Mus musculus: one gene and its partners. The protein of the gene in region 1 interacts with the protein of each later gene in a biochemical or structural test. Links are inferred from orthologs where the notes say so. Each region holds a gene or a part of one and is shown in the gene's direction. Other genes may lie near its edges.

What was found.
Region 2: of the proteins of Akt1 (region 1) and Ptpa, one has a biochemical effect on the other in vitro, tested with the Homo sapiens proteins (2 studies listed by BioGRID). The link is inferred for Mus musculus from reciprocal best matches to the Homo sapiens genes AKT1 and PTPA.
Region 3: of the proteins of Akt1 (region 1) and Akt1s1, one has a biochemical effect on the other in vitro, tested with the Homo sapiens proteins (2 studies listed by BioGRID). The link is inferred for Mus musculus from reciprocal best matches to the Homo sapiens genes AKT1 and AKT1S1.

Annotation. Positions count from the first base shown.
Region 1 is NC_000078.6:112,671,468-112,675,693, reverse strand, and holds the start of Akt1 (RAC-alpha serine/threonine-protein kinase), read left to right. Parts: upstream 1-1,417; 5' UTR 1,418-1,694; intron 1,695-1,754; exon of another isoform or gene 1,755-1,988; intron 1,989-4,039; 5' UTR 4,040-4,132; coding exon 4,133-4,178; intron 4,179-4,226. UniProt on the Homo sapiens protein: AKT1 is one of 3 closely related serine/threonine-protein kinases (AKT1, AKT2 and AKT3) called the AKT kinase, and which regulate many processes including metabolism, proliferation, cell survival, growth and angiogenesis.
Region 2 is NC_000068.7:30,439,942-30,443,550, forward strand, and holds part of Ptpa (serine/threonine-protein phosphatase 2A activator), read left to right. Parts: intron 1-1,911; exon of another isoform or gene 1,912-2,037; intron 2,038-3,348; coding exon 3,349-3,456; exon of another isoform or gene 3,457-3,508; intron 3,509-3,609. UniProt on the Homo sapiens protein: PPIases accelerate the folding of proteins. It catalyzes the cis-trans isomerization of proline imidic peptide bonds in oligopeptides. Acts as a regulatory subunit for serine/threonine-protein phosphatase 2A (PP2A).
Region 3 is NC_000073.6:44,852,116-44,855,922, forward strand, and holds the end of Akt1s1 (proline-rich AKT1 substrate 1), read left to right. Parts: intron 1-455; coding exon of another isoform or gene 456-462; coding exon 463-844; intron 845-1,664; coding exon 1,665-1,742; intron 1,743-1,823; coding exon 1,824-1,993; intron 1,994-2,476; coding exon 2,477-2,620; 3' UTR 2,621-3,306; downstream 3,307-3,807. UniProt on the Homo sapiens protein: Negative regulator of the mechanistic target of rapamycin complex 1 (mTORC1), an evolutionarily conserved central nutrient sensor that stimulates anabolic reactions and macromolecule biosynthesis to promote cellular biomass generation and growth.

The DNA of each region.
Region 1 (4,226 bases):
TGTCTAGGAGGCCCAAAGAGGTGTTGCCAAAGTGTGGACCCAGAAGGAGTCGCCTATCCCCCAACCCACTCCGGACTCGGGGGAAGATAGAGACACAAAGAAGGGAGGCGGGACTGGTTACTGCATAGAAACAGGGCTCACCACAGGTAGGAGCTGTCTCCAACAGTGGCTTCCAGGAAGAGCATCCGAGTGAGAAGGGTCACTAGAGAACAGCCAGAAATTGCTGTGTTCCACAAGAGGGCGCCCTGCTGGCTCTAACTGTGTAGCAACGGGATGGGGGAAGTAGGAGAGGAGGAGTTGGGGGCCTGGGGTGAAGGTTTGCTGGGCGAGTGATGGATATTTGTGTGACTCTCAGCCTCTGAAGGCCACTCTCAGGGTCAGGGATACTGCTGGAGCAGAACAGAACTGCTGCTGAGCCTCTGACTTAGCGCCCTGGAGGCTCTCTGAGCTGGGGCAGCTGTGCAGCAGATAGGGCACAGAACAGAGCCCCCCATCCCCATCCCCGTCTGAAGGGTATGGGGCGTGGCTGAGAGGAGAGTGAGTTCTTCTCCGGGAGTGGGGTGTGCTTCCCAGGTCAGCCCCAGGAGCCCGAGAAGGAGCTCCGATTTCCATCCTGGGCGATAGCGTGGACTACTAAATCTACCCTCTTGTTTACACTCCTGGTGAACTCTGACCCTTGTATGAAAAACAAAAAATGCCCCCTGGTTAAAAATACCAAACACATGAAGGTAAATTCACAAAAGGGTTACTATCAAGTCGGGCTTCTGGGACGAGGGAGGGGCCCTGCGCAGGAACTGCTGAGGCTGGCCGAAGGGGGAAGGACTGAGGATGGATAAGAGGCAGGAACCACCTTGACTCTTCAATTCCGGGACACCATAAGGAACCGCCCCCCAAGCCTCACCCATCTGAGTCCACAGCAAGGTCTTGGCTGACTGAGTCCTACCCCTGAATCTGCCCCCTCTGGGTGTCCAGGTGTGCTCCCGTCCTCCCTGTCACCTGGGGAGTCCTTATCAGTTGCTGTGGCAGGCAGTACTGGGTTGGATGAGCCCTCAATAGCCTTCTTTCTTGTGTTGGCTGGCCTTTAGGACACCGGTGACCGGTCTCTCCCGGCTCCCAAGATGGGGACAGTTGGGCCTCTTGAGAGTCAAACTGATTCACTTCCCACGCTGGCCTCCCTCCTTGGGGTCTGGAGAGCTAGGCAGGGAAGGGCCAGGTCCCACAAACCGGGAAACCCAGACCAGAGCTGGAGCTCTGGATCTGCGGCGGGGCTCCGTTACCCGCGTGGCCCTGGCTCGGGGCCACCCGAGGGCGGCGCCTGCGGGGCCGCGCTCGCGCTCACGGGGTGCCTCGCCCTGGCCGCGGGCCGCGCCGGGGGCGCCCGGGGCGGCGGAGGCGGATGTGGGCGGGCGGCGCGGGCGCGGGGCGGGGAGAAGGCGGGCCGGCGGCGGCGGCGGCAGCACCGAGTCGGCGGGCGGCCGGCCCAGCGCGGCAGCGCACGCGAGTCCGGGACCAGCGGAGCGGACCGAGCAGCGTCCTGTGGCCGGCACCGCGGCGGCCCAGATCCGGCCAGCAGCGCGCGCCCGGACGCCGCTGCCTTCAGCCGGCCCCGCCCAGCGCCCGCCCGCGGGATGCGGAGCGGCGGGCGCCCGAGGCCGCGGCCCGGCTAGGCCCAGTCGCCCGCACGCGGCGGCCCGGTGAGTGCCCGCGCCGCGCCCTGTTCCGGGCCGCGGCCACCCCGCTTTGTTCCCGGCCGCGCCGCGCCTCGGAGTAGGAGCAGGAAGTGGCCGAGCGGAGGCCTGGGCGGGGAGCGCGCGGGGCCGGGCTGGTCGCGCAGGAGGCCCACGCCGGCGAGGGTGCGGGCGGCCGCTGCGTGACCTTGGGTGGCCGCTCCACGGGGCCAGGTCGCGGGAGAGGGGCGCTGTTGGTGTGCGCAGTGGGGGCCGGTGCGCCCTGGGGCCTGGGGCTGCCCGGGCACTCGGCCAGCGAGGGTAGGAGAAAGGCTCGCCCCGCGGCCTGCGTGCGGTGGGAGGGCCCTGGGAAGGAGAACTCATTTCCCACGGACAGAAAGTTGTGCGCGGTGGCACAGTGCCCAGGCTAGCCCACAAAGGACTGCTAACCCTCCTGGGCCCGGAAGCTGCTTCCTGGACTAGGTGGTTTCTGGAGGTGCCGGGGGGGGGGGGGGCCTTGAGGACGGCGTGGACTCGGTCTCCCGGATCCGGGATACTGGCTGAGCTGATGGAATTGTCTAAAGAGGACTGGTTTCTAAGTTGGGCGGTGGTGGAACCTTGGGCCTCTGCTGTGTGGCCAAACTCCTCCTTCCCCCAGGCCCCTGGTCTTGCTCCAGGTGGCTAGCCTTGACTGCCTAGAGCCATCACTAAAGTGAAGGGCGAGTCGCCTTGGTGGGGCCCCAGCTGGGCGTGTGGCTCACGGGCCAGTGTCCCAGAGGGGCTGAACTCTTAAGACTTAACAATAGCAACCATATGCCCTTACGGCATGGCATGGTGGGAAGAGTGTCCCATGCTTAAGTCGGCTTGATGTGGACATTGGCGTTAACATGGCTGTGTTTCTTCACTCCGTGTGTATGAATTTATTTTTACACGGCTCTGGACAGCTGACTGTCATCAGCAGACCTTGGGGCTGGGTGGGGGTAGGGGACATCCACCGAGAGAGATCTTGCAGTACAGCCCTCTGCCTCCAGGCCACACCCACTCTGACAGTCACTGAGCTGGGATTTCTTCTTGGCTTATCTTTTTCGTTCTGGCTTTTAGTCGCCACCTGCTTGCTGAGGGAAGGGCTCTTTCCTTCTTGGGCCAGGTGTGGTCTTTCCTACTTTGGCATTTGGCATTTGACACATAGCAGCCGGCCTCCCTTTTGTTCCACATTTAGCTTCATACAAGGCAAAGTGACAGAGACTCTGGGTGCCAGCTTGTGTCTTCTGGGCTAGAGAGATGACATAGGGGGTTGCCAGTCAGCTGTAGTAGACCCTAGTTGGGATCTATTCCACGGCGGCCTTCCAGTCTTTTCCTGGGGATTGTCCACATGAACTCCAGGTGGAGGGACAACACAGGCTTGCTGGTCAAGGGCTGTTCAGGTGCACTTTCCCAGAATGTCCAGACTTGGGGATATTTGAAGGATACCTAGGTGTCCCTCTGGAAGAGAAGCAATTGGGGGGCGGGGGGATCTTTGCGAGGTGAGCTGGCACCCTTTGCTTTGCACAGGCTAGCTAGTTGGCCGCTGCAGGACCCTTGTGTGTTACCTGCCCTGTTTGTGGGCTCCCGGATACTGTAATTGTGGGTCGTAACCACTGCTTTGGGTGTTCCCAGCAGGCTGTCTCAGAGTCTCTCTGTCTCAGGCGTAGGGTGAAGGCTCGACAGAACCATATGTGCCTAGTGTGTACTCACCAAGTGAAGGGGACAGCTTCACAGGCAGGGTGCTGTGTTCCCAAGGGGTCTGGGGTTCTGCCTGAGGAGTTTTTAGTGTTGTCCTGAAGGACTTTGGGCTCAGCTTCATACCGTGCCTGTTCTACTTGTGCTCTCCAGTGTTGGCCTTCCCGCGTTCCTAACGTGAGCCGTAGGGACCCTGCGACCTGCAGTAGGCCTCCCAGACTGTAGGGGGTGGTGAGACAGTGGTAAGCACCCCTCACTAGTGCGAGGCAGAGCAGAAGCAGTCAGGGCTGCCTGGAGGAGGTGGCCTAATCTGCTGGGGTAGCAAATTGAACAAGCTGCCTAACAGGAAAAGCCTTCTGGAAATGAATGTTTCTAGCAGAGACCAGGATGATGGGGGTTGGCCACAGCCTTGCACCCCGGACTACCAGGCCTAGATCTGGGTGTGTAGCATCTACTACTGGAGGGAGGTCTTCTATAGCAACCTTTGGAGACACGTCAGGCAGGCTGGCAGGGAGTAAGGGTGAGGAGGGAACCTGGGAACCAGAGATGGGTAGATCACATGAGGGGACATGGGTAATTGTGGGCCCTCTGGGGCTCACGGAAGCTAGTCCCAAGTGGGACCTTGTCTCACGTGCTTTCTCGGCTTCTTCTAGACGCTGCGGCCAGGCCGGCTGGGCTCAGCCTACCGAGAAGAGACTCTGAGCATCATCCCTGGGTTACCCCTGTCTCTGGGGGCCACGGATACCATGAACGACGTAGCCATTGTGAAGGAGGGCTGGCTGCACAAACGAGGTAAGTCCGCACTCCACAGGAGAAGCAGGCCGGCCTGGGTCTGCCTAG
Region 2 (3,609 bases), on another chromosome or scaffold:
TTGGGATTAGAAAATCAGCCACCATACTCAGCTCCCATGGGGTTCTTGGGCTGAGGGGTTAAATTGTAGTTGTTAGTTAGACTTGGTGACCCGCAGCAGGCCTAAGAGGGTGCCATGCAATGTGTTAGGGTGCAATCAAGTTAGAGGTTATGGACTCAGGTTGAAATCCCTAGAGGAGCTGCAGTGCTGGGAGTAGTTCTGTCTCTCTGTACCTCAGCAGTGTTCGAGAGGTGAAAACAAGCAGCCTGTGGTGGCAGTCACTGGGTCCAACATCACCTGTGGTGGCAGTCACTGGGCCCATACTACTCAGCACATTCCCTAACTGGAAGTACTTGTCTCACCGAGGCAGGATTCCCTACAGTATAGTGCTGGAACACTCCCCAAGGTAGCCCACGGACTCTGAAAACTCTTGGCTTTGGGCCCATGTCAGCTTTCCCTCTCAGAATCTTGTGGACAAGAGCCAGGAGCTCATCAAGGGACCCAGAGTCTCAGGGCCTTGATTCTGGGAGGTGTTAGAACTTGTCATTCTCTCTGCCTATACCTATCAAGTCTCACCCCAAGTTCACAGGGTCCTGGCTTCTCTTTCTGTGCCTCCTGCATGTTTGCCCTGTGGAATTACATGTGGTCTCCCGACTGGATGCTACTCTCTTGGCTCCCTGTTCTGAGCCTCTGAGCAGGGAAAAGCCTGGTTAGCAGCCTTGACTCTAGGTTCTTTCTGGTCAGCATTTGCCTCAGGGTTGTGCCAAGCTCCAGGGGCCAGAGGGGAATGACACATTTTTTTCCAAGTCAGCAAATGGAGCAGGGACTGACGGCTGGGCGGCCACTACTTGGTTCTTGGAGATAATGCTGCCTTCAGCAGTGTGGCAGGCTCAAGGTCAGAAGGACTGGGGGCAGCCTGGCTCACTGCCTTGAAAGATAGCTTTGCAGGACTTGAGCGTGCAGCGAGGGGCTAGGGAGGATCTAGGGTGAGAGCTAGGGCTGAATGGGAAGGAGCTTCAGATTCTGCAGAGCTTGCTGCTTGAGGCCAAAGCCTGAGCTGTTACTGCTTCCTCTGGCGGCTGGCCAAGCCCCTTGCGTCCCTGTCAATAATTCTAACAAGGAGGCTAGCGAGACTGGGCTTCAGGGACTGGAGATCGATGGATTCCATGCTAAGATTTAGTGTGTGTGTTTGTTTCGGCTGATATAAAACCCCAAAACCTTTTCCAAAGTTTGGAATGGAGGACCCCATAGACGGTAGTCCAAATAACCACAAGGAGGCGCTAAAGTGCACTGAACTCTGGTGGCTTCAGTAACAGAGGTAGGAAGTGGGAGGGGAGCTTTTTAGTGGTTGTGCACCTTCTCTGCTAGGCTTGGTTTTCTCTTGGTTCCAGGCTCTTGGGTCAGTCAAGCTCTGGTTGGTTGCTAGGCACTGTGGTGGCAAGGGCATGCTGCCTGCCTGGGTTGGGCAGTTGTAGCGCTCTGCTGCTGCTGCTGTTCACAGATAGACAGCTAAACAGACAGAGAAATGGATACAGATGTATAGATATTCCCCACCCCTACTTGATGAAGTTGGCAGTTTTTACTTATAACCCCCATCAGGAAGTGAGCAGTCTCACCCAGAGGGCACAGAAGCCTACAGGGTGTTCAGGGCTTTTGGTCAGGGAGACCTGCAGTCTTTACTGCTCAAACAAAACCCAAGGAAGTTGGGAAGGAAACCACTTCTCTTTGCTGGGTCTTGTGTCAGGACCGCTTTGCTAGTAGTACTGGATGTGACAGCGGAGGAAGCCCACCTTGCGGGGCTCCAACTGCTTCAGGAAATGTAGCCCTGGCGCCTTTAAGAGCCAAGGGCAGGCAGGAAAAGAATTTCAGTTTCAATCTGGCTTCTAAATTTGGAGTTTTGGGAAGGGAGGGATCAGATTTCAGCTGGAAGGGAAGGAGCTGACAGGAAGGCGCTGTGCTGAGCCTCCCCCACCCTGCCCATCCCCCCAGTTACTGACAGAGGAACCATTTACAAAAGGCCGATTCTCTGGGGAGTGGAGAGGCAGGAACGCAGCGTCTGTGAGTAATTTCCTGCTCAATATGGCTGCTCTGACTCACACGATTCCCCTGGGGTCACTGCGGGACTGCAGTTGCTTGCTTGTTCTCGCTCTTTCTCTTCTCCCTTTGTGGCTAGAATGAGCTGATTTTTTGGGGGCGTCTTCTCACCCCCAATTTCTTTTCTCCCTCATTTTTTTTCCTTTCTCTTGAGTCGCAGAACCTCCTTCTGAAGGACTTGGGACCTGAGGCCCTGAAGGCCTTGAGGGTGAAGTGGCCTCTCTAGGGACATAACTGAGCTACACAACTTGGGCCTGCCTCTAGCTCTGCAGCCTGCCAGACAGCCCGTTTTGAATGTCCCTTGTTAGTGAGCAAGGCTGGTCCCCCAGGCAGGGTCCTTGCTGAGCCAGCCTGGAGCACCTGCTGTGAGACAAAGCAGGTGGTCATTCACTCAGGGGTCTGTAGGGGACCCTGTTTCATAGTTCCAGCCTGCAAGTGTGCAGAATTGGGGCAAGGAAGTAGAGAGATTGACGGTGGAGTCTTTGCAGGAGTGTTGGGATACATCTCGGAAGCTGAGGGCACTGTAAACTTTGCCAGGCTCACAGAGCCTTTCAGAGTCTTTCTGTGTAGTATGGGGCTGTCCTCTGAGCCCTGTTCCCCAAAATAAATGCTGCCTGTAACCTGGGGAGGGAGTGAGGAGGGCGTGCCAGGCTGCATGGCTAGTAAATACAAATGGACTGGCCTTGCACTCTCACTGGCAGGATGCACTTGGGACATAGGCTTCCCTATTCCTGTGCCCCAGCCGAGGCTCTGATGCCCCGGGACTGCACTGGACTGCAGTAGTGCTCTGCCTTCCTGCAGTCAGAGTTTGAGCACTGATGGACTATCCATGTGCCTGCTCGTCTTGTTGCTGTGGCTTTTTCTGCCCTACTCTTGACCTTGTTAAACAAACTTCCCTCCTGTACTGATCTGGAGCCTCCCTCTATCTCTGTCTCTGTCTCAGAGGACCAGATCCATCAGGGCCTGTCCACAGCCCCTTTCCTGTCCTCCAGGCAGGTCTAGACCACGCACCTACAGTGTGTCTGCATAGGAACACATTCTACTTTCTTAGGGTAGGGATGGTCTCTTCCTGGGTTGCTAAATTTGATAGACATTGGGATGGAGCCTCTGTTTTGTCTGTGTGAAAGAGGTAAGCAGAGGCTGTAGATGAGAGAAGTTCTGTTTTTTCAACAGGCCTTGTAGGTCAAGGCTGTGGTGTGTGTGTGCGTGCATGTGCGTGTCTGTGTGTGTGCACGCCTGCATACTGCCTCTCTAGTTCCTGGACTTCTTTTCCAGATGAAGACTGGCCCCTTTGCGGAACACTCCAACCAGCTGTGGAACATCAGTGCTGTCCCCTCCTGGTCTAAAGTGAACCAGGGCCTCATTCGAATGTATAAGGCAGAGGTGAGTGGGGGCTGGCCATCCTGCCTGCCCCTGATGGCGCTTGGTCCTGAGGGTGAGCTCATGACTTCTGATTCTTCATCACATTGTTTGCTCGGGCTCTGAGGCCAGCTGTCTGAAACTTGGGGACCTCAGAACCTGATGGATGGGCAGAGG
Region 3 (3,807 bases), on another chromosome or scaffold:
ACTTACTCACCAAGCTGGGGTTTGGTCCCCAGCAAACTAGGCGTGGTGGTGTGCATGTGTGACTTGAGCACTCAAGAACTGGATGCATGAGAATCGGGACTCCAAAGTTACCTTTATACACATAGTGAGTTTGGGTCCAACTTGAGTACTTGATCCTGGCTCCCAGAGTATTAAGAAACCAAACTAAATAACCACAAACCAACTTGACTCTAATGTTCATAGCCAAAACAGATGGAGACTCGAAGGCTTTGGGTAGTTCCTGTGTGGAACAGGATGGGGCCAGAAAGCAAGCTAGGACTGGGAAAGATCCCAGGGGAGACAGGTGTGGGAATTGGGGGAGCTCAGCTGGGACGGCCGCGTGCCGTGGAGGGGAGTTGCATTGCAGTAGTTGCCCCTCAGGATGAGGAGTGATGGTTGCGGCATCCTGAGCCCCTCTATCCTGCTCTGGCCCACAGGGCTCGGATGGCGTCTGGGCGGCCAGAGGAACTGTGGGAAGCCGTCGTGGGGGCCGCCGAGCGCTTTCAGGCCCGCACTGGCACAGAGCTGGTATTACTGACTGCAGCGCCACCGCCGCCGCCCCGCCCTGGACCCTGTGCCTATGCCGCCCATGGCCGCGGAGCCCTGGCAGAGGCGGCCCGACGCTGCCTCCACGACATCGCACAGGCGCACAGGGCTGCCACTGCCACCCGACCTCCTGGTCCCCCACCAGCACCACAGCCGCCCAGCCCTGCTCCTAGTCCACCACCTCGGCCAGCCCTGGCCAGGGAGGATGAGGAGGAAGATGAGGACGAGCCCACTGAAACAGAGACATCTGGGGAGCGGCTGGGCGGTAGCGATAATGGAGGTGAGCTAATAGGGCTGGCACTGCAGTGGGGTTGCTGGTTAACTGGACACTTGTCCAGGGTGTTCTGTGGGTCCTTGGCGCTGCATTCCTTCCAAGCCTCACACAAGAGCCAACCACTTGATGGGAGTAATAACACAATAATGTTGTGCAAATGTAGCACACCAGGGTTGGGAGATTGCCTTTGAGAGCTTCTTGTCTGGCCAAGCAACTGGTGAGAAGTGCGGGTGTTTCTGGAAAGGGGTAGGGGCTGCCATCCCAGCCAAGGGAGACACAAGTTTCCCAAGAGTGGGACATTGCTACAGCTGCGGAGGCCAGGGCTGGAGATGGTTACAAGTACACATCTCCTGGCATGTTAAGGCCAAAGACAGCATTTTCCATACCCCATGCCATCCCACTGTGGGCACCTGGGTCTAGGGACTGCTGTTTGGGGAGAATAAGGAAGTTGGATGCTTCTCCCAGAAAGTACTGTCACCACAGGACTTTGAGGAGTGAATGGGAGTTACTCATTTGCCATCATTGCCTGTGGCTGGCACCTTGCCTTTCCTAAAGAAGCCTGCCTTCCATGAAGGCTATGGGCCCTATACCCAGGTGTTCTGGTATCAGATCTTTGAAACCAAACTCAGGGAAGTGACATGGTATTGGGATCTTTTATTTGTCCCCACCAGACCATCTTTCTTTGGGAGTTATTTTTGGGCCATGTCCCAAGCACCATTTTGACTCTGGTAGTACCTGATAATGGGAGGGACCCTCAGTGACCAGGGAGGCAAATGAAAAAGTGTTGAGACCCGGGGGCCGACTGCAGGGCCTGTCTCCCCCTCAGGTCTCTTCATGATGGATGAGGATGCCACCCTCCAGGACCTGCCCCCCTTCTGCGAGTCAGACCCGGAGAGCACAGACGGTGAGGATCCTGGGTTGTCCAAGCCCTAGGAGGCCAGGCAGAGGGTAGGGGGGCAGAAGCTGAAGCTTCCCTGTATCATAGACGGCAGCCTGAGCGAGGAGACGCCCGCCGGTCCCACAGCCTGTCCCCAGCCCCCGGCCACAGCCCTGCCTACCCAGCAGTATGCCAAGTCTCTGCCCGTGTCGGTGCCAGTGTGGGCCTTCAAGGAGAAGAGGACAGAAGCCCGATCGTCAGATGAGGAGAATGGCCCGGTGAGGGGGGGAACGAGACAAGTGTTCTGCCGAGAGGAGCCCCACTGTAGTTTAGGAGAAAGGCCCCTCCCTCGTCTATCCAAAGTCGTTTGGGAGGGAGTCAGGGAAACTGAAGCTCCGGGTTAAAGCAGTGGTCTTTGGCTGGACTGCCCTGACCTGGCGCCCCCTTCACAGAAAACTCCCTAAAGTAGAGGGGACAACAAGGCACTGAGTGATCACATGACACCCCGCTCGGGGCGCCAGCGCCTTCATAGCTGCTCTACATATGGCAACCCCCTAGATTCAGGTGGGATGCCTGCTGTCTTGGCCGAAGCGTGGCCGGACCGGGCACCTTGCACTGGGCTCCTGCTTCTTAGCAGTGGTAGAGTTGAAGAAGGAGGTGGGATGCGGAACGTGCCGGTTCGCAGCCTGCAGGACAGACAGTCCGGAATGGCGGGCTTCCGGGAGGCGGGCCCTGCACACTGACAGTTTCCTTCTCTACAGCCCTCCTCGCCCGACCTAGACCGAATAGCGGCCAGCATGCGCGCGCTGGTGCTGCGGGAGGCTGAGGACACCCAGGTCTTCGGGGATCTTCCGCGGCCGCGGCTCAATACCAGCGACTTCCAGAAGCTGAAGCGGAAATATTAAGCGAACAGAAAGCCTTGGCCTGCGAGAGGCCACTGCCTCTCGGCCCAGCAAGAGAACAATTCTTTCCGGGATTGGCTGGCTCAGGTTGGGCGGGGCCGGTTCTAAACGCTCCAAGGGTCAACTCTGTTTCTTGCCTAGCAAACGAAGCTTTGCCCGCACAGCCTTGACTCGCGGCCCCAGGGCGGAGCCCAGCTGCGGGAGCTGCCGCTGCTCAGCCAGTGTCGGGAAGAGTTGCCCGCCAGCCTTCCAGAGTTCCCCTACCCGATTGGTCCCGGCCTCCTGGGAGTGTGGCCAAGCCCTCCCTAACCCAGAATTGGCCCGAGGCCTTTAATTTCTTACACTACTAGGGCTGTTAATCAATTGTTTTTGTTTTTGTTGTTTTCTTTGCCTGAGTCCTGACAATTGTATCCCGGTTCCCCAGGGGACAGTCTGGGTCCCTCTCTGGTCTGACGCTCCCTATAGGTTCCACCGCACGACAGCCTGTCCATCAAAACTTGTCCTGTACCCAGGACAGTACCAGCTTCCTGTCCCCCGACCCTAACAGGTGCCTTAAAAGGCCCTCTCCCACCCAAGGTGGGGGGGCCAGGGGGGCCTCACTTTCCGGCCCTAGACTTGGGTGCGGGAGAGTGGGATGGGGGTAGGGAGGGGCGCTCTGAGATTAAAGTTTTACCTCTGACTAGTGAGTTCGTGTTGTGTGTGAGTGTGATGCTATGAAGCGTTCATGACAATTAAATGAAGTTCAGGGTTCGACACCCAGTCTTGGGGGCGTAACTGTGGGAGCGGTAGAAAGGCAAACCAGGGAATCTCCATTTCCCAACATCCAAAGATGAGAAAGGGGGCTAGAGGGGCTAGAGGACTGTCACCTTCACACTATTAATATTAATATGGATTGCCTCCCTTTTGTTACTTTGCTTTTTGGGATGATTTCACTTTGTAGCCCAGCCTTTCTCTTCAGTTTTTGTGCTGGGATTTCCAATCTGCCCCATCATACCGAGCTTTAGCGTATTTGTCCCAGAATTAGAAGCGATTTTCCCACTTTATTGCAAAGGGACCGGCATCATAGAAGCAAAGGAAGAGTGTATAGTGATGCTATGCGCTTCAAATGCTAAGGACAAGCTGGTTTGTTTCCGCTGCTACGCAGAGGAATGATGAAGGCGCACATCTGTCATTCCATCAGCAGGGAGATG